4 linked regions of the Macaca fascicularis genome follow. The protein of the gene in region 1 purifies or fractionates together with the protein of each later gene. This does not show direct contact. Links are inferred from orthologs where the notes say so. Each region holds a gene or a part of one and is shown in the gene's direction. Other genes may lie near its edges. The genes, in order: MAPK6, CEP170, ECH1 and ECI2.

What was found.
Region 2: the proteins of MAPK6 (region 1) and CEP170 purify together in Homo sapiens (affinity purification with mass spectrometry; 3 studies listed by BioGRID and IntAct, with this or other methods). This does not show direct contact. The link is inferred for Macaca fascicularis from reciprocal best matches to the Homo sapiens genes MAPK6 and CEP170.
Region 3: the proteins of MAPK6 (region 1) and ECH1 purify together in Homo sapiens (affinity purification with mass spectrometry; 3 studies listed by BioGRID and IntAct, with this or other methods). This does not show direct contact. The link is inferred for Macaca fascicularis from reciprocal best matches to the Homo sapiens genes MAPK6 and ECH1.
Region 4: the proteins of MAPK6 (region 1) and ECI2 purify together in Homo sapiens (affinity purification with mass spectrometry; 3 studies listed by BioGRID and IntAct, with this or other methods). This does not show direct contact. The link is inferred for Macaca fascicularis from reciprocal best matches to the Homo sapiens genes MAPK6 and ECI2.

What each region holds. Positions count from the first base shown.
Region 1 is NC_088381.1:28,454,158-28,459,152, forward strand, and holds the start of MAPK6 (mitogen-activated protein kinase 6), read left to right. Parts: upstream 1-1,740; 5' UTR 1,741-1,944; intron 1,945-4,995. UniProt on the Homo sapiens protein: Atypical MAPK protein. Phosphorylates microtubule-associated protein 2 (MAP2) and MAPKAPK5.
Region 2 is NC_088375.1:6,090,301-6,094,606, forward strand, and holds part of CEP170 (centrosomal protein of 170 kDa), read left to right. Parts: intron 1-2,345; coding exon 2,346-2,439; intron 2,440-3,499; coding exon 3,500-3,551; intron 3,552-4,306.
Region 3 is NC_088393.1:45,898,773-45,903,823, reverse strand, and holds the start of ECH1 (delta(3,5)-Delta(2,4)-dienoyl-CoA isomerase, mitochondrial), read left to right. Parts: upstream 1-2,014; 5' UTR 2,015-2,049; coding exon 2,050-2,215; intron 2,216-2,305; coding exon 2,306-2,489; intron 2,490-2,632; coding exon 2,633-2,721; intron 2,722-5,051. UniProt on the Homo sapiens protein: Isomerization of 3-trans,5-cis-dienoyl-CoA to 2-trans,4-trans-dienoyl-CoA.
Region 4 is NC_088378.1:168,910,152-168,915,240, forward strand, and holds the start of ECI2 (enoyl-CoA delta isomerase 2), read left to right. Parts: upstream 1-1,760; 5' UTR 1,761-1,780; coding exon of another isoform or gene 1,781-1,824; 5' UTR 1,825-2,010; coding exon 2,011-2,237; intron 2,238-2,753; exon of another isoform or gene 2,754-3,051; intron 3,052-3,649; coding exon 3,650-3,812; intron 3,813-5,089. UniProt on the Homo sapiens protein: Able to isomerize both 3-cis and 3-trans double bonds into the 2-trans form in a range of enoyl-CoA species. Has a preference for 3-trans substrates.

The sequences.
Region 1 (4,995 bases):
TGGCTAGGGAGGCCTCAGGAAACTTACAATCATGGTGGAAGAGGTAGCAAGCACATCTTAGATGGCAGCAGGTGAGATAGAGAGAGAGTGTGTGTGAAAGAGGAACCGTCTAACACTTATAAAACCATCAGATCGCCGAGCACAGTGGCTCACGCCTGTAATCTCAGCACTTTGGGAGGCTGAGGTGGGCAGATCACGAGGTCAGGAGTTCGAGACCAGCCTGACCAACACGGTGAAACCCCGTCTCTACTAAACATACAAAAATTAGCCGGGCATGGTGGTGCGTGCCTGTAATCCCAGCTCCTCAGGAGGCTGAGGCAAGAGAATTGCTTGAACCTGGGAGGCAGAGGTTGCAGCAAGCCGAGATCGCACTATTGCAGGCCAGCCTGGGCAACAAGAGTGAAACTCCGTCTCAAACAAAAAACAAACAAACAAAAAAACACCATCTGATCTCGTGAGAACTGATTCACCAACATGAGAACAGCATGGGGGAAACCCGCCTCCATCATCCAATCACCTCCCACCAGGTCCCTCCCTCCACACATGGGGATTATGGGGATTACAATTTGAGATGAGATTTGGGTGGAGTCACAGATCCAAACCATATCACCTTTCTACTTCTGCCTTGATCACTCATCGGATTTGGGCAACCCAGAAAAGGCACATCTTCTTGGGCAAGGTAGCTCTCTGCACATGAGGCAAGCCCAGAAGGAAATGGTAGCTGACAGCTGTGTGCTAAGCACAGTCCCCACAGCAGGGCAGCACCTTCCTTGAAGGGGGATCTGGTCAAAACATCTCAACATCCACCACAGGTATCATGTCAGCAATTGACTCTCAAATTGTTCAAGTAAAAATTAATTATGCTATGTACGCAACTTTTCTGTTAGTTTGAAATACTTTAAAAATAAAATGCTTTTAAAACAAATGAACAGACTTACACAAATTAAATATGACTGAAAAAAGGTCTGAAAAAGAGCCTCCTGTTTTTTGTTGTTGTTGTTTTTTGAGACGGAGTCTCGCTCTGTGGCTCAGGCTGGAGTGCAGTGGCCGGATCTCACCTCACTGCAAGCTCCGCCTCCCGGGTTCACGCCATTCTCCTGCCTCAGCCTCCCGAGTAGCTGGGACTACAGGCCCCCGCCACCACGCCCGGCTAGCTTTTTGTATTTTTTTAGTAGAGACGGGCTTTCACCGTGTTAGCCTGGATGGTCTACGATCTCCTGACCTCATGATCCGCCCACCTTGGCCTCTCAAAGTGCTGGGATTACAGGCTTGAGCCACCGCGCCCGGCCTGAGCCTCCTGTTGCTGATACAAAGAAAGGAGCATGATGTTGAAAAGATGAAAATTCATTTGAATGAATAAAATATGGATGGCCAGAAGAATTAGTGAGAGGTAAGAGTGAAACAGTAAATTGAAGCTTCATCTTTGCTGATGCAATATAATTCCAGGCCTTCAGAATAGGGCAAGAATGCAGAATGCTTATTGCCTCACATTTACACTGGCCTTTAATTTCACCTCACCTCTTCTGAGTAGGTGAAGTCTCTTCTAGCTTGCCTTTAGTAGTTCCTGTTCCCTATCTCCCTCTTCCTTTTGTTCCTTTCCTCCTCACGACCATCATGAAAATTGGTCTGTGGAGATCTGAGTCTTTCCTAAGCTTCTCATACTGGGATGAAGATTATTTTTAGGATTAATCTGAGTCACAGAGGGAGGAGGGAAAGAACCATTTTAATCTTTTCCTTTTCACTCCTTCATAACCTGCTGTACGGCTAAATCATTTTACAAACACGTCTTTCCTCCTTTTCCCTAGGAATGCTTTGCCTTTTATTTTTCCTTTGGAAACAGTATCCATAAGCCTTCATCAGAAGCTTCTAAAAGTGGAAGGAATTTTTCTTTGTTAGAATGGACCACGGGCTAAATTAAAGGAGATTGCTATAAGCTGCTTTCATGTAAGTAAATCCATTTATTATTATAGCGGTTGTTGGGATCTGAGGGGTTATATAGTTGCCCCTGCTTCCCTTTCTCACTGGCCCCCTCAGCTATACCCCTGTCTTAGTCTGTTTTGTGCTTTTTATAACAAAATACCTAAGACTGAATAATTTATAAAGGAAAAAAAAATTATTTGGCTCACAGTTGTGGAGGCTGGGAAGTCTAAGAGGGGACGGCATCTAATAAGGGCCTTCTTGCCGCATCATCCCATGGTAGAAGGCGGAAGGGCAAGAGTGATCTCACGAGGGCAAGACACTGAACTCGAAGCTTCCAGCTTTATTATAATCAGCATTAATCAATTCATGGGAGTGCAGCCCCTATGACCTAAACACCTCCCATTAGGCCCCACCTCCCAACGCTGCTGCATTGGGGATTAAGTTGCCAACATACCCTTTTTGGGGAACACCTCCAAACCATAGCAACCCCACTCTGGATTTTCCCTTCTGTCCCTCCGAGGCTGAGTGTGGAAGGCACTCCTGCTTTCTGTGGAGAGATGCAGGCAGAGACTGTGTTTGACCTTCTTCCTTTGCAGCAACACGCTTGAGCATGCCTCATGTTTCACTGTTGGACCACATTTCTTTGAAGGGTAAATAAGCATGTGAACGCTACACTTTAAAAAACATCTCTACCAATTTACACATTAAACACTGAGGAAACAAGGAAGAACAAACAAAACCCCCCTACTAAGTTACCCCAAAAGGTGGGAGAAAGTTCTGTCTTGGATAAAATAGGCACTCAAAGGCTATCTGTTGAATGAATTGAATGAATGAAGAGAGATCTGGGCCAGGTGTGGTGGCTCATTGCCTGTAATCCCAGCACTTTGGGAGGCCGAGGAGGGCAGATCACCTGAGGTCAGGAGTTCAAGACCAGCCTGGCCAACATGGCGAAACCCCATCGCTACTAAAAAAGTACAAAACTTAGCCAGGTGTGGTGGTGGGTGCCTGTAATCCCAGCTACTCAGGAGGCTGAGGCAGGAGAATTGCTTGAACTTGAGAGGCAGAGGTTGCAGTGAGCTGAGATCGCACCACTGTCCTCCAGCCTGGGCGACAAGAGTGAAACTCCATCTCAAACAAACAAACAAACAAACAAACAAAAAAGATCTGGCTTAACTTAGGTGAATGATAGTTTAAACAGGCAAGCTTCTGGCTGAAGATACTAACAACAACCCTTATTTAGAGTAGGTTAGCCTTTTCAGAGTGCTTCCACACATTATCTCATGTACTCCTTGGACAGACCCTGCCCTGCGAGGGAGGGGAGCAGGTGCTATTTATACCATTTTAAAGTTGAGATTAAATGACTTGCCTGGAATCAAACAACTAAGTGGCAGAACTGGGGCCAACACCTAGGTCTGCTGACTACCACTGGCACCAAGGCACCAGAGAGATTCTTCTGGTTTCAGAGTAGAGCCCCCAAGGGTTACTGTTGGAGGACTTGTCTTACTTAAAACTGTCATAGACTGTGTGGAAGCAGACCCATGTAGGAAACATCACACGGCTGAAATGGCCTTAAGCTCTCCAGGGGAGTAAACACCAAGCAGATGGATCTAAATTGAAAAGATAAGCTTCACACAGCTTATGTGAGTGGACAAAAATATGGCAAATGAGTTTCATTCTGTACTGAATTGGAATAATGCATTTAGTATTGTTAGTCTAAAGTCACTTAAAAGATGAGTTTGGAGCTGTGTTTTATTCTAAGAGACCCATGAGTTATTGTTGACTATTTCCTAAAGTCATATAACAATATGCTAGGCCTCTTTGCTAAGAACGTGGAAAACAGAACTGAAAGCATTATTTTGTCTTACATTTGACAAAATGGTAATGAAGTTATACGTGGAATCATGCATTTAATTCTCCCTGGAAACCGTAAAAAAGAGTCTAGTATTTCATACATATACCAGGTCAGAGAAAGAGGTAACTAAAATGACCAAATAGATTTCCTAAGAAGAAAGTTGCTTTAAAAGTAGAATTAAATAAGGGAAAATTTGAAGGAAACCCCTATTCACCTTTCATTTTTAACAAACATTTATTTGAGAAACCACTATATTCAGACACTATGCTCAACACTAGAGTTTACAATGACTAAAACACAGAAGTTCACAATCATTGTGTGAGAATACCAGCCGGGATGAATCATGAGTCCAACTCAGCACAGCTATTCTTGTGTGCTTAATGAATTGGCAGCTGGTTTAGGGTGCAATCTCTTGAACTTGGTTGGTATGTGTTGGTTGCCGAGGCCAATCAACCCTGGTAAACCTGCAATCAAGTTCTTCAAGCAGCAAGTCTGAAGGACTGGACCCTTCATATCAGCTACAGCATAAAGTGAAGTTATGATTTATTAACAGTGTCGTTAACATTTAGTTGTTTACCTGGGTCTAACAGATACCATCCTTCTCTGTGGTCTCAGCACTTCTGAGCTAGGAAGGTGCAGATAGTCCCTGCTTGTGACTGAATTATGTTCCCAAAAGTTGATTTCTAACTTGGTTGTTTGAAACTGAAAATGCATTTTTTTCCCCAGAGAATTAATGTTAGAAATACTGGTTCTGTTCTCAGGCAAACTCTTAGAAGGCCATTTAGCTTTGAGACTATAGAACTGTGACCTACGACATTGTTTCTATGGGAAAATGTGCCCCAGAAGGAACAAGGTCTTCCTTCCTACCCCACTTCCTACCTCCCTGTGTAATGAAGCCTGTGTGTTTACTACAGGAAGTGCTGCTCCCAAGAGTGGGCGGCTGGGCTTTGAGGCAGCCTTGGACACTTATCCCCAAGGGCAGAGATATTCTCACTTCTCCTGCCCCAGCTCTGGCAGGGAGGGGAGTGGGAGCAGGTCGGGAGTCTGTCCCTGACCCATCTTCTTCAGGGCTTCTGGTGGGTGGGGTTCTAGCAAGACTGGCTACATAATTTCTGGGGTCCTTTGTTCAAAAGGCAGAAAAATAAAAATGCTGCTGAGCTAGTGAAGTATAAAACTTTTTTTCCTTTCTTCTGCTCTCTCTCTCGACTTGTTACAGTGTTTTA
Region 2 (4,306 bases), on another chromosome or scaffold:
AAGGTCAGGAGATCGAGACCACGGTGAAACCCCGTCTCTACTAAAAATACAAAAAATTAGCCGGGCGAGGTGGCGGCGCCTGTAGTCCCAGCTACTCAGGAGGCTGAGGCAGGAGAATGGCATGAACCCGGGAGGCGGAGCTTGCAGTGAGCCGAGATCACACCCACTGCACTCCAGCCTGGGGGACAAAGCGAGACTCCGTCTCAAAAAAAAAAAAAAGGCAAGTTTGACTTCTTAGATCTGTACCATTATATTTACAAATTGTTTTTTGTGTTTTGTTTTTTTGTTGTTTTTTGTTTTTGTTTTTTTTCTGAGACGGGCTAGAGTACAGTGGCATGATCACAGCTCACTCACTCAGTGCAGCCTTGACCTCCCTGGGCACAAGTGATCCTCCCACCTCAGCCTTCTTAGAAGCTAGGACTACAGGCATCTGCGCCACACCTGGCTAATTTTTTTGTATTTTTTATAGAGACGAGGTCTCGCCATGTTGCGCAGGCTGGTCTCGAACTCCTGGCAGCAAGTGATCCACCCAGTTTGCCTTCCTAAAGTGCTAGGATTACAGGCATGAGCCACTGTGCCTGGCCAACAAACTGTATTTTAAAATAAACCTTTTATTTCTTCAGTGGCGCATTTTTTTTTCAGGGACCATAGGTAACTATTCTAACCCATTTTCACCAAAGGTGAAATGTCTATGGTTTAACAGTTTTAGATCCACAAACACTATACTCAGTAGCCATCCTCTGGAAAAATTCACTGAATTTTTAGCACTGTGTGGCTAAACAGAAACTTTCTTTATTGTGTAAGTCCATTAAAGTTCTAAGTTGGTCCATGAAATAGTCATTATTTCCTTATTCTCCATCAGTCCTAATGCTGCAAGGACTCTTTTATAAGAACGTAATAGTTTAGAAAAGATGGCTGGCAAGGGTGTTTATTTTTTTTGAGTTTAGAAAATTTAATAAGTAGGCAATAAGAATATTCTTATACCAGATTCTAGACCCATTGTCACGTTAAGCAAATGTTCCAGACTCGATGTGATGTTAATGAATTTCGTGATTTTACATAAGGTAAGTCTGGTACGTTGATCTTTGAAGAAATACCAGCACAAATATTCACTTAGTTTACTGCTTAAATGCTGTTCAGCTTCCAGTAGTAATAAATTTACATGAGATTTATAGTGTTTACACTAGATTTCCAGACGTACTGAAGAAATTTTAAAAGAAACCAAAAAAGTAGCTAGTATTTTACATCTTTCTAAAACTGCTGAATCATGTCTTATAGATTCTAAAGTGTTAGAGAGAAAAATGTCCCACATTTGGAAGACACATCAAAATGTTGTGGTCCTTTATTTTATAAGTTATTTGATGTTAGGGTAATGATAGAATAATTATCTTTATCGGCAATTGTTTTTATCAAAAGAATAGCATCCTAATTCCTAATAGGTTATTATGTACAAATATACTAACACGAATTAACAATTTTTAAAGAAAAGCACAGTAAGTACTCCCAATTTTCAGTCTTTAAAATAATATACACACTTTTCTTGTTCAATAAGGTGCTTATTCCTATATAAAGAAGTCTTTACAGACACAATTGTTTATACCTAATTTAATCTGTTTATCTCACTTATTCCTATACTTCATATATTCTCTCTGAACAAAATTGCATTTTTTTTATAAGTGACAGTTACACAGTCGTTTCTCCTTATAATCAGGTGATACATGTTGTTCCAAGACACCCAATGGATGCCTGACACCACAGATAGTTCTAAAACCTAATATACTGTGTTTTTTCCTACACATACATGCCTATGATAAAGTTTAATTTATAAATTAGGCGCATTAAGAGATTAACCATGGTAACTAATAATAAAATAGAAGATTTATAACAGTATACTGTAAAAAAAAGTTATGTGAATGTGGTCTTTTTCTCTCTCTCCCTCTGCCTCTCCCGAAATACTGTAATAGTTTCGGACTACGCTTGACTGCCACTAACTAAAACCTTGGAAAGAGAAACCGTAGATAAGAGGGCATTACTGTATTGTAAATTATAAATATTAAAGTTTTGAGGTCATAACATCTTTACATTTGTTTTATATTTTGTTTTCAATAAAGAATAAGATAAACAGTAAAAAATGTATTCATGTATTAATAAGCATTCAATTGGAGCTCATACACATTCATTAATTGGTATTGTTGGCTTAGTATTTTAATTCTCAATTTATGCAATGGTTGGGTTTTTTTTCTTCATGTACCTTTGAAAAGATACGTTGTTTTGGTATCATTAACAAAAAAGTAATAAGTTTTTAAAATATAAAAAGTTATATGCTTATGTTTTTTGATTTATAGAATATTATTTAAAGACAAAGATCGGAATTGGGATGACATAGAAAGCAAATTAAGAGCCGAAAGTGAAGTCCCTATTGTGAAAACCTCAAGCATGGTATAGTAATTTTTCTTGAAGATTAAAACATTTTAGTAGAGTTTTATTTTAAGGAAAATACCCTTATTTTTGAGCTATTCGTTGATTTGCTTTTTCAAAAGAATATATAAATGCAAACTTTTGGGAAATTGTATTGCTTCTACTGACTCACAGGTTTAAAATGTTGATTGTTTCAGAGTTGCAGAGGGTATGAAGGAGGAGCCTTTTGTGTTTCTTACTAGTATATATTCTTCTTGTAATAATTAAACATTAGAAACATGAAATTTTTAAAGAGAACCAAATTTAACTTGAAAATATTAAGTTGACATAAGTTGTTTCCATTTACTTAATGTAATACTTATCTTTTTAAAAGAATTTGTAGAGATTTTCATTGCTCAGAATACAATTATAATATTGAGGTTGCAGTTTATATGTTTTTACAAAGATAATTTGAAGGCATTTTTACATAGTCACTGCAAGGTTGATTAATAAGAATTTTTAAAAATCTTTGCGGCCGGGCAGAGTGGCTCACGCCTGTAATCCCAGCACTTTGTCAGGCCAAGGAGGGTGGATCACTTGAGGTCAGGAGTTCAAGACCAGCCTGGCCAATATGGCAAAACCCTGTCTCTACTAAAAGTACAAAAACTAGCCAGGCATTGTGGCAGGCGCCTATCATCCCAGCTCCTTGGGGGACTGAGGCAAGAGAATTACTTGAACCTGGGAGGAGGAGGTTACAGTGAGCCAAGATTGCACCATTGCACTCCAGTCTGGGCAACAGTGAGACTCAGTCTCAAAAAAAAAAAAAAAAAACTTTGCTTAAATAGTAGTAAATGACTTTAAACTTTTCATCTGCTACAATCATCTCACTGAAAAATCATTCTATTTCATTGTAATTTAAATATTTTAGTTTGAATCTTGTTTAGTAGATATAATTATTTCATATCATGTTGCTATTAATGTAATAAGTACCATGTAGATAATATTAAGTGTTCCAAATAAAATGAGAGTGAAATTCATTGCTTGTAAACGGATACCATTTAGCTAAAGTAGAGGCTAATTTTTGTTATTGCTTTCCCTGCAGGAGATTTCTTCTATCTTACAGGAACTGAAAAGAGTAGAAAAACAGCTACAAGGTAAATAGACTACTGAATTAAGTATAAAGAGCTAATAATTTAGAATAAGTGCCTTCTAAGTGGTATTTCTTAAAATATTCTTATTGTTAGCATATTATTTGATTAAATGTAATGACATACATAAAATATAGAGTTCTATACATTCACATTACTCATAAAAAGGAATTTTTTAAACCCAGTGTAAAAATTAAAAATATAATAAAGATATATGTGGGGCATATTTTAGTTCATAGGTTTGACAATAGGCTAGATGTCATAAACTAATTGACATTTTTTATGTATTAAATAATACGTGAAAAATATATAATAAAGTTGTGTTAATTAGCATTATTTGTGTGATTTGACAATTCTTAAATTATGTTGGTGGTGTATGTAACCTGAAACAAACTTACATTCTAATAGAAATAATAGTTGCTTAGTTAACAAGAAATGAGTACATATTGGCCATAGAGACCAGAAGAGAAAGGAGAGGAGAAAATGAAAGAGACTGCCCTCTAAACTGTGAAAGGGACGTTGTTTGGTTTGTGTCAGAGCTGGATTGTACATTAATGCCTGTGTATCTCTTGACCTAGAAGTCCCCAGTGGTACAACAAGCAGGTTCCATAGTCGACTGCTGATTCTACTGAGTCTTTATCTATTGAATAATCATAGGTACATATGTGGATCCTATCAAAATGATTTTTAACCTTTATTCAGCCCCAGCATACCTAAGGGTTATGATACACCCCATGAGTAAAAGCGGCTTGCTAACACAG
Region 3 (5,051 bases), on another chromosome or scaffold:
GAGCTTGCAGTGAGCTGAGATCCGGCCACTGCACTCCAGCCTGGGCGACAGAGCGAGACTCTGTCTCCAAAAAAAAAAAAAAAAAAAAGTGAATTTTACCAGTTTCTCTCCTAGCATCCAATTTCATTTCCTGTTAACAGTTTGAGTCTTCTTCCAGAGATATTATATACATATGCCGTATTCTGTGCATGTCCAGCTATACTTTTTTTTTTTTTTTAAAGACAGAGTCACTCTCTCACCCAGCCTGAAGTGCTGGAGCGCAGTGGCATGATGTTGGCTCACTGCAACCTCTGCCTCCTGGGTTGAAGCAATTCTTCTGCCTCAACCTCCCAAGTAGCTGGGATTACAGGCACCTAACACCACGCCCCGCTAATTTTTTTTTTCTTTGAGACCAAGTCTCTCTCTGTCTCCAGGCTGGACTGCAGTGGCGCTATCTAGGCTTACTGCAAGCGCCGCCTCCCAGATTCACACCATTCTCCAGCTTCAGCCTCCTAAGTAGCTGGGACTACAGGCGCCCGCCAACACGCGCGGCTAATATTTTGTATTTTTAGTGGAGACGGGGTTTCACCGTGTTAGCCAGGATGGTCTCAATCTGCTGACGTGATGCACCCGCCTCGGCCTCCCAAAGTGCTGGGATTACAGGCGTGAGCCACCGCTCCCAGCCAGCAGTTTTTTTTTTTTTTTTTTTTTTTGAGACCGAGTCTCGCTCTGTCACCCAGGCTGGAGTGCAGTGGCCGGATCTCAGCTCACTGGAAGCTCCGCCTCCCGGGTTTACGCCATTCTCCTGCCTCAGCCTCCCGAGTAGCTGGGACTACAGGCGCCCGCCACCTCGCCCGGCTAGTTTTTGTATTTTTAGTAGAGACGGGGTTTCACCGTGTTAGTCAGGATGGTCTCGATCTCCTGACCTCGTGATCCGCCCGTCTCGGCCTCCCAAAGTGCTGGGATTACAGGCTTGAGCCACCGCGCCCGGCCCCGGCCAGCAGTTTTAAAGTACTTTTTATGCCTTCGGATAGCTGGCTTTTACCAAGGGAGTTTCGCTTTTTTTTTTTTTTTAAGAACATGAACTTTTTTTTTTTTTTTTTTTGAGACGGAGTCTTGCTCTGTCACCCAGGTTTGAGTGCAGTGGCGCAATCTCTGCTCATTGCAATCTCCGCCTCCTTGGCTCAAGCCATTCTCCTGCCTCAGCCTCCCGCTGGGATTACAGGTGCCGGACACCGCACCCAGCTAATTTTTGTATTTTTACTAGAGACGGGATTTCGCCATGTTGACCAGGCTGGTCTTGAACTCCTGACCTCAGGTGATCCGCCTGCCGCGGCCTCCCAAAGTGTATTACAGGCGTGAACCACGCGCCGGCCTAAGAATATGAACTCTGGAACCATGTAATCCTACTTTAGCCCTTCCGAAGCCCAGAGACCTTGAACCTCGTGTCTTCCCGTGCCTGAGTCAGTTTCCTCTGCATATAGTGGGAAACAGTACGACCTCCCGGTGGGAGTTCATATACAGTCAGCGCTTAATGTTGGCCCGTCTGTACTCATTCCTTTACGTGGGTAAACTCACAGTAATGCAAGTTTTATTTTTAGTTAACATGATATATACACATGCATGATGACAAGCTCTGCTGCCATTATGTCCTTGGACGTTTCAGCTGTCGCCAATTATTCCACCATTATGAAACATAGGTGTCATGAACTTTAGCAGGAGCTATTTTCTTTTCCTTTTTGGACTGAGTCTCCCAAGCTGGAGAGCTGGAGAGCAATGGCTCTATCTCGGCTCACTGCAAGCTCCGCCTCCCGGGTTCACACCGTTGCAGGAGCTATTTTCTCAGGCCAGGTTCCCACTGGGGCAAAGGGTCCTTTTCTGAGCTTGGCTCTAACTATGTAAGGCAACCGGAACTCGGCTGCCCTTAGTAAAGATGGCGGGGAGAACGGCGTCTTTGCCTGTCAGGCTGCGGCATCGGTGCCCTCGCTCAACATGGCGGCCGTTTGTGCCCGCCCCTTCCGCTAACTGGTGGGTTACTCGGTCCCAACGCCGTAGACGAAGGCGGCGGCGATGGCGGCGGGGATAGTGGCTTCTCGCAGACTCCGCGACCTACTGAGCCGACGTGAGTCACCTCTTGACTTATGGTGGTGTATCGCGCTGTCGTGCTGTTATAGCAGCTGTAGGACGGGGAGGCCCATCCGGGGTCACGAAGGGCCCGAGTCCCCTAAATTCAGGGGTGCGTGTGCTCCCTTTTGAAGGGCTCCCTAATTCTATAGGCCTGTGTCTTGGAGTCTGGGGTCATCAAAGGCTCTTCCTTTCTCCGCAGGATTGACAGCCTCCAACTACTCGGGCCTCAGTATTAGCCTTCGCCTCACTGGCTCCTCTGCACAAGAGGAAGCCCCAGACCACAGCTATGAGTCCCTTCGTGTGACATCTGCGCAGAAACACGTTCTGCATGTCCAGCTCAACCGGCCCAACAAGAGGAATGCCATGAACAAGGCCTTCTGGAGGTGTGACCTGCAGATCCTGGAGGCCTGCCTGCTGGGGGAGGCGGGGGCTGCGGGACTGAGCCAGAGTGGAACCTTGTGGGGAGATGGACATGAGGGCAGGGTATTCCCACCCCATTTGTAGCCCTTCACTCGTTGCTTCACAGAGAGATGGTAGAGTGCTTCAACAAGATTTCGAGAGACGCTGACTGTCGGGCGGTGGTGATCTCTGGTGCAGGAAAAATGTTCACTGCAGGTACCAGACGCTCTTCACACACCCTACCAGCCTTCCCAGCTCCTGGCAATAGACAGTGGAGCAGTGCTTCTTAATTAGGATTTTAAGCAGCTTCTAACTTACACTTTTTTTGCTGTTCGTTTTGTTGTGTTTGTTTGTTTGTTTGTTTGTTTTGAGGCAGGGTCTTGCTCTGTTGTCAGTCTGGAGTGCAGTGGCGCAAACTCAGGTCACTGCAACCTCTGCCTCCCGAGTTCAAGCAATTCTCCTGCCTGGGACTACAGGCGCGGGCCACCACGCCCAGTTAATTTTTGTGTTTTTAGTAGAGACGAGGTTTCGCCATGTTGGCCAGGATGGTCTCGCTCTCCTGACCTCATAATCTGCCTGCCTCAGCCTCCCAAAGTGCTGGGATTATAGACGTGAGCCACCACTCCGACCCCTAACTTACAGTTTTATCTGTTTTTTGTGTGTGTGTGGTTTTTTTTTTGGGAGACAGGATCTTGCTCTGTCACCCAGGTTGGAGTGCAGTGGCCTAATCATAAATCACTGTAACCTCAAATACTTGAGCTCAAGCCATCCTCCCACCTCGGCCTCCCAAAGTGCCAGGTTTACAGGCAGGTGCCACCATGGCCAGCCCTATCATTTTTTTTTTAAAGGCCTAATTTAAAACATTCAAATATGAAAATTAGTCCAACAGAACATGACGGGATCATAGGCTCTGAAGTCTGGGTTTCCATCCTGGATCTATGGCCATGAAGAATATGCTTAACCTCTCAGTCTATAGCTGTGTCAGCATATAATATAATAACATGCTTTCATGCAACTCTGCAACTCACTCATTGATTTCCAGTTACAGGTCAGTTGGATCTTTGGATTGACCCACTGACCTGTTCTTCAGATGGGAGAATTTCCACTGATCACAGTTACTGACTCTTTCCTCATCTCTGTCCTCCTGTAAAGCCCACCCAGATTTTTTTGTTTTGTTTTGTTTTGTTTGAGACAGAGTTTCGCTTTTGTTGCAATGGCGCAATCTCAGCTCACTGCAACCTCTGCTTCCTGGGTTCAAGTGATTCTCCTGCCTCAGCCACCCGAGTAGCTGGGATTACGGGCGTCTGCCACCACGCCCAGCTAATTTTTTGTGTTTCTAGTAGAGATGGGGTTTTACCATGTTGGCCAAGCTGGTCTAAAACTCCTGACCTCAGGTCATCCATCCGCCTAGGCCTCCCAAAGTGCTAGGATGACAGGTGTGAGCCACTGCGCCCAGGTACCACCCACTGATTTTAAATTTCAGATATTGTAGTTTTCAATTCTCCAATTCCCATTTGGTTCATTATTTATTTATTTATTTATTTTGAGACAGAATCTCGCTTTGTCACCCAGGCTGGAGTGCAGTGACACAATTCTGCTCATTGCAACATCTGCCTCCTGGGTTCAAGCAATTCTCCTGCCTCAGCCTCCTGCGTAGCTGGGATTACAGGTGCCTGTCACCAGGCCTGGCTAATTTTTTTTTTCTTTTTTGTAGAAGGACTCTCACTCTGTTGACTAGCCTGGAGTGCAGTGGCACAATCTCGGCTCACTGCAACCTCCACCTCCCAGGTTCAAGCCATTCTCTTGCCTCAGCCTCCCGAGTAGCTGGGATTGCAGGCAACCGGCACCATGCCCGGCTAATTTTTATATTTGTGGTAGAGACAGGTTCTCACTGTTTTCGCCAGGCTGGTCTTGAACTCCTGGCCTTCAGTGATCTGCCCACTTCAGCCTCCCAAAGTGCTGGGATTACAGGAGTGATCCATTGTACCTGGTCATTTATTTATTTTTTGTCATGCATGTTTTTCTTTTTTTTTTTTTTTTTTTTTTTTTTTTTGTGAGACGGAGTCTCGCTGTGTCACCCAGGCTGGAGTGCAGTGGCCCGATCTCGGCTCACTGCAAGCTCCGCCTCCCGGGTTTACGCCATTCTCCTGCCTCAGCCTCCGAGTAGCTGGGACTACAGGCGCCCGCCACCACGCCCGGCTAGTTTTTTGTATTTTTAGTAGAGACGGGGTTTCACCATGTTAGCCAGGATGGTCTCGATCTCCTGACTTCGTGATCCACCCGCCTCGGCCTCCCAAAGTACTGGGATTACAGGCTTGAGCCACCGCGCTCGGCCTCATGCATGTTTTTCTTCCTGCCATTGAGCATAGTTATAATGACTGATTTAAAATCCTTGTCTTCTGGCCGGGCGCGGTGGCTAACACAGTGAAACGCCATCTCTACTTAAAAAAAAAAAAAAAAAATCTGGGCGCCGTGGCTCACGCCTGTAATCCCAGCACTTTGGGAGGCCAAGGCAGGTGGATCACGAGGTCAGGAGATTGAGACCA
Region 4 (5,089 bases), on another chromosome or scaffold:
TTACTATCAAAATATGCTTACCAGTACGAGATTTTAAAAATATTTCCACGACAGCCGTTTCATCTTCTGGAAATGAGTGAGTCTTGTATTATCTGCAATATCTGATTACTGCATTTCCATTACCTCTGAGGGTCACCTAACAGCCTTGGAGAGAGTCAGGGTCTCTGAGAGAGGCAGCTCTGCCTACCAACTACCACTCTGTAATATCTGGAGAGGCCGGGTGTGGTGATTCACGCCTGTAATCCCAACAGTTTGGGAGGCCGAGGCGGGTGAATCACCTGAGGTCAGGAGTTTGAGACCAGTCTGACCAATCTCTACTAAATACAAAAAATTTAGCCAGGCCTGGTGGCGCATGCCTGTAATCCCAACTACTCGGGAGCCGGAGACAGGAGACTCACTTGAACCCGGAGGTGGAGGTTACAGTGAGCCAAGATTGTGCCATCACACTGCAGCCTATGCAACAAGAGGGAAACTCCATCTCAAAAACAAAAACAAAAAAACAAAAACATGTATCTGGAGAAAGGCTTTGGGATAAGCCCAAATTGTTCTACTTGACTTTCGGTGTTGCCCTACCTACACTATTAGCCAGATCTATCTGATGAAACTTACTGCTAAAGTTACTTGAGACTTGGATTCTGCTCACCTGCAAGCCTCATGTCTTTGGGGAATTCACCAGGTTAATCTTTCTGGGTCTCAGTTCCCACATCAGCTCAACAGGGCAATATGCTCAACAGGGCAATTTCCACATCAGCTCAAAAGGGCAATATCGTTTTCCTTACAGGGTTGTCCAAAGACTTACAATTAGCCTGGCTCACTATCGATGGTCCACAAGTGTCAGCTACCTAATACTAAAACGCCTAGGCATGCTTGGATAGGACAACTTGGGCACAGAATTTAGAGGGGTGGTTTTGTTTTGTTCTGTTTTGTTTTTTGGTTCTCTGGGAACTGGACAAGGTGACACAGCCAAGGCCCTTCCAACTCTTAAGAATTCTTCCCCAAAGAAAATACTTTGCATATGCCTCAGCAGAACTCAAAAATATCCACGAACTCTTAACTGACACTAAAAAGGTGCATACTCCAAAAATCACTTCTGATTCCCAGGTGTCCTACCAGGTCTGCAAATCTTCGATTTGGGGGTGCATGACCTAGCTGCTCTTAAGCATACGCCCTCAATTGTTACCCCATCTCCCGGCTCACGGCTGGCCCTCGGGATGCAGCGACCCCTCCTCGCCAGGCTCCGCGGGACTCCGGGAAGGGCACTCAGTGCTCCAGCAACGGCAGGGTTCGCATTGCTGAGGTCCGCCCAGAGAACAGCCGCGCCTCCAGCTCGCAGTTCCTCGGAGCCAGGCCCGGGAGCATTTGTGCCCCGCCCCACGCGCCGCGTAGGCCTCCCCGGATCACCGTCCCCGCACCCCGCGCCCTTCCTCCACTCCCGGGTGATACCTCGCCTCGCTCTGGCTCCGCCCCCGCATCTCAGTCCCGGATCCTGACCGCCTAGAGACCCCGCCCCGCCCACGCCCCGACCCCCGGCCCCACCCCCGAGCCCCCGCAGCCCCAGAGCCGCCCACGGGCTACTGACGCCGAAAGCGGCCTGGCTACGTTCTCAGCCTGGCCCCGCCCCAACCCTGGCCCCGCCCATGCCCCAGGCTCCTGCCTGGGCTCTGCTCTCGGCCCCGCCCCGCACCCAAGCCCCGGCCCCACCCCCAAACCTCCGCAGCCCGCGAGCCCAGGCCCCGCCCCCGAGCCCCGGCCCCGCCCCTGAGCCGCCCACGGGGTAGCGATGGCGCACTTGGCCTGGAGACTTGCAGAGCGTTGGTGTCCGAGGTAAGCTTGGAGCCCCGGCCTCCCGGCCCAAGGTTGCCCGCAGGATACCGCTGTCCAGGCGAAGGTCGCCGCCGTTGAAAGACCCTCCTTCCCTATTGTCTAGGTGGCAACAGGACTTTCTTTGCTGGTTTTCCAGCGAGGCAGTACTAAAGGATAACCCCCTCACTCGCGCGCCCTCCTGCACCGATGGGCCCAGAGGGGTCAGCATGGGCGCGTCGGAAGATCAGGGCTATGGTTCTCTGTCCGCAGTCCCCGAGGTCTCCGCCTGCGTTCGCGCACGCTCCCATCCTCCGGGGGCCGGACTCCGGGCGGGTGAGCCGCCCAGCTGGGCACGGTGGTTCCCCGGACACCCGGGCCTGCACTTCCCAGCCGGGCTGCCTCTGGGGTGCAAAGCGTTGCTTGCTAAAAGCGAGGTAAACGCAAGCCGTTACCACTCGTGTGGACTTAACACTCTTTGCCCTTTGGAGAACTCGTATGCTATAAAGTGAAATGGCCGGGTACGCAGTCACGGCTAAGCAGCACGCTCCACGTCCCTGGGGTCCCGGGAACCCCGCACGAATCTGTGTGTAGGGAACAAAACCGAAACACGGTGGTGGCCTTGAAGTGGTAAAATTATTAGTGATTTTCCCGACTTTATGTATTTCTTAAATGGTCGTGTTTTTGCTATTTGTTTTTAAAACTCACGCTTTATTTAAAAATAAATAATTTGTTCCACATTTTGTGGAAACTTGTACGTTTCTTCTTTTTGTGGACATTTTAAATTTTTCTTTCGTTTTCTACTTGGAATTTGCCATATAAGATGCAGTTTTTCCCTTTACAGAAAATCATTTTAATATAAAACTTACTGTAGGCTGATCTTACTGAATCAGTTACTAATAGTCCAAAGTTTGAACCTAGAGTTCATTGTACCATTTTCGAGTTACGTAATTGTGTTTGTGTGTGAGGTTTGGGCTTTGTAACCTGTATTATTTTAATCATCTTTGATGCCATTAACTCTACTATTCCGGGTCATCGTCGTGAACATCCATTTTTTGCTTGTGGCCTGCCTGAGTCCTGTGCATTGAAGTTTGCCACCCCACCCCCGCTCACTATGTGTGCTTAAAAACCTGCTCGTCACCCCGCGGTGGTTACTGTTTCTGCTCTGTTCCTGGCTGGCTGGTTAAACATCCCCACAAAAGGGGGCACGCCTGCTGAGCCTCCTCCTTCACTGACTCCCTTCCACTGCAGGTAGATTCCCTCCCATCTGCTGAGAAGGCTGTGGCTCTGTCTGGAATGCCAGCAACTGTTGCTATGCCCTTTTGAATATTTCTTGTATATTCACATCCATTCTCCCTTCCTTCCACCTGTGTGTATGTTGGAAACCGGTTTTCCAGCAAAAAGACAAGAATTGACCTGATATAGTTTATGGCTTATCAGTGAGTGCAGAGGCTGTTTCAGGACTTTGGGACACGTTACAAAATTCTGTGCACTTTAGCTTTTTGGTCTCTTGCTGTTCACTGTCTTGCATGCGCTTCACTTCTTGCTTTTGGCAAAATTTACATGGTATTCCTGTTCTGGCTGTTTTTATCTTAAATTGCTTACAAATACTTCCCTGGATGGTTATTTACTTTTCCATTTATTTAAAGTTAGTACTGTTAGCTTCCGTATTGAGTTACTATCTTGGAATCCTTACAGCCAATTATTTGCAGCCAGTTTGCAGAGGCAAGTATAAAGAAAATATGGACAAACATAGCATTTTAGTATGTATGGGTTGGGAACAATTAGAAATCAGGCTGCAGAAATGTGAGGGTTGGGAACATATAGAAATCAGTCTGCCTAATTGTAGTTCTCTGCAGGTCATTAGTTTCCCAGTAGTTCAGCTGCACCTGAATAGAACAGCAATGAGAGCCAGTCAGAAGGACTTTGAAAATGCAATGAATCAAGTGAAACTCTTGAGGAAGGATCCAGGAAATGAAGTGAAGCTAAAACTCTACTCACTGTATAAGCAGGTAAATGCCTACGGTCTGACATTTAAATAATTTTAGGCAAATGACTCCTTAAGTAGATAAACTGTGTGTTTACTAAAATGTAGCCTTAATATTTTGGGTTTGTCTTGCTCCCTCTTAAGTATGTGTGTGTGTGTGTGTGTGTGTGTGTGTATATATATATGTGTGTGTGTGTATATATATATATGTATGTATGTATATGCGCGCAAGTTTTTTAATATTAGACCTTGAAATATTATCAAGGCACAAAGTGCCTCAGTGTCATGCCAGAGTAAAAGAGACTTACGAGATATAATATTCACATTTGTAGACCTTATTTAGCTCTTGATTAGAATAAATCAATTGAAAAAGGTATTTTTAAGATAATTGGGGAAGTTTTGAATAAGGTCAGAGTGTTAGAAGATACCTAGAAATCATTGTTAATGGTGTCAAGGTTATATAAGAAAATGTTGATATTTTTAAGAAGTGCATACTAAAGGATATAGGGGTGAAACAATGGATAGTTGAAGTTCTCTAAGCAAAAAAAGAAAGAAAAGGATAGATGAGGCCAGGCATGGTGGCTCACTTCTGTAATCCCAGCACTTTGGGAGGCTGAGGCGGGCAGATCCCTTAAGGTCAGGAGTTTGAGACCAGCCTGGCCACCATGGTTAAACCTCGTCTCTACTAAAAATACAAAAATTAGCTGGACGTAGTGGCGTGCACCTGTAATCCCAGCTACTTGGGAAGCTGAGGCAGGAGAATCGCTTGAATCAGGTTGCAGTGAGCCAAGATTGCGCCACTACACTCCAGCCTGAGTGACAGAGCAAAACTCTGTCAAAAAAAGAAAAAAAGAAAAGAGAGAGAGAGAGATGAAGCAAGTAAGGCAATTTGATCGTTGTTGAACCTGGATGATGGGTATTGGGAATTCATTATCGTATTCTACTTTGGTATGTTTGGAAATGTTTATAACAAAATTTAAAACCTAAAGCTTTGAAGTTTCAATGCCAAAGACTTCCCCGATGTATCTGCCTCTCTGGGCTCCTGTGTTATCTGTTTTTCTGTGCTATGATGGGTATGAGCTTCTCTTTCATATGGGTGTGTATAGTAAAAAATTTAACGTTGTCCCAAAGGACGTGTGGCTTTGTCCTTAGCTTCTGGGAAGGGAATCTCTAAAGCCTGATAGGAGTGTCTTTATTTGCCTGGATTGTCTTAACAATGTGATTTAGGGTGGGGGCTTCAGGTTATACAGTCAGGCACAGGTGATGGAGCCCCACTGAAAACTCTGGACACTGAGACTGATG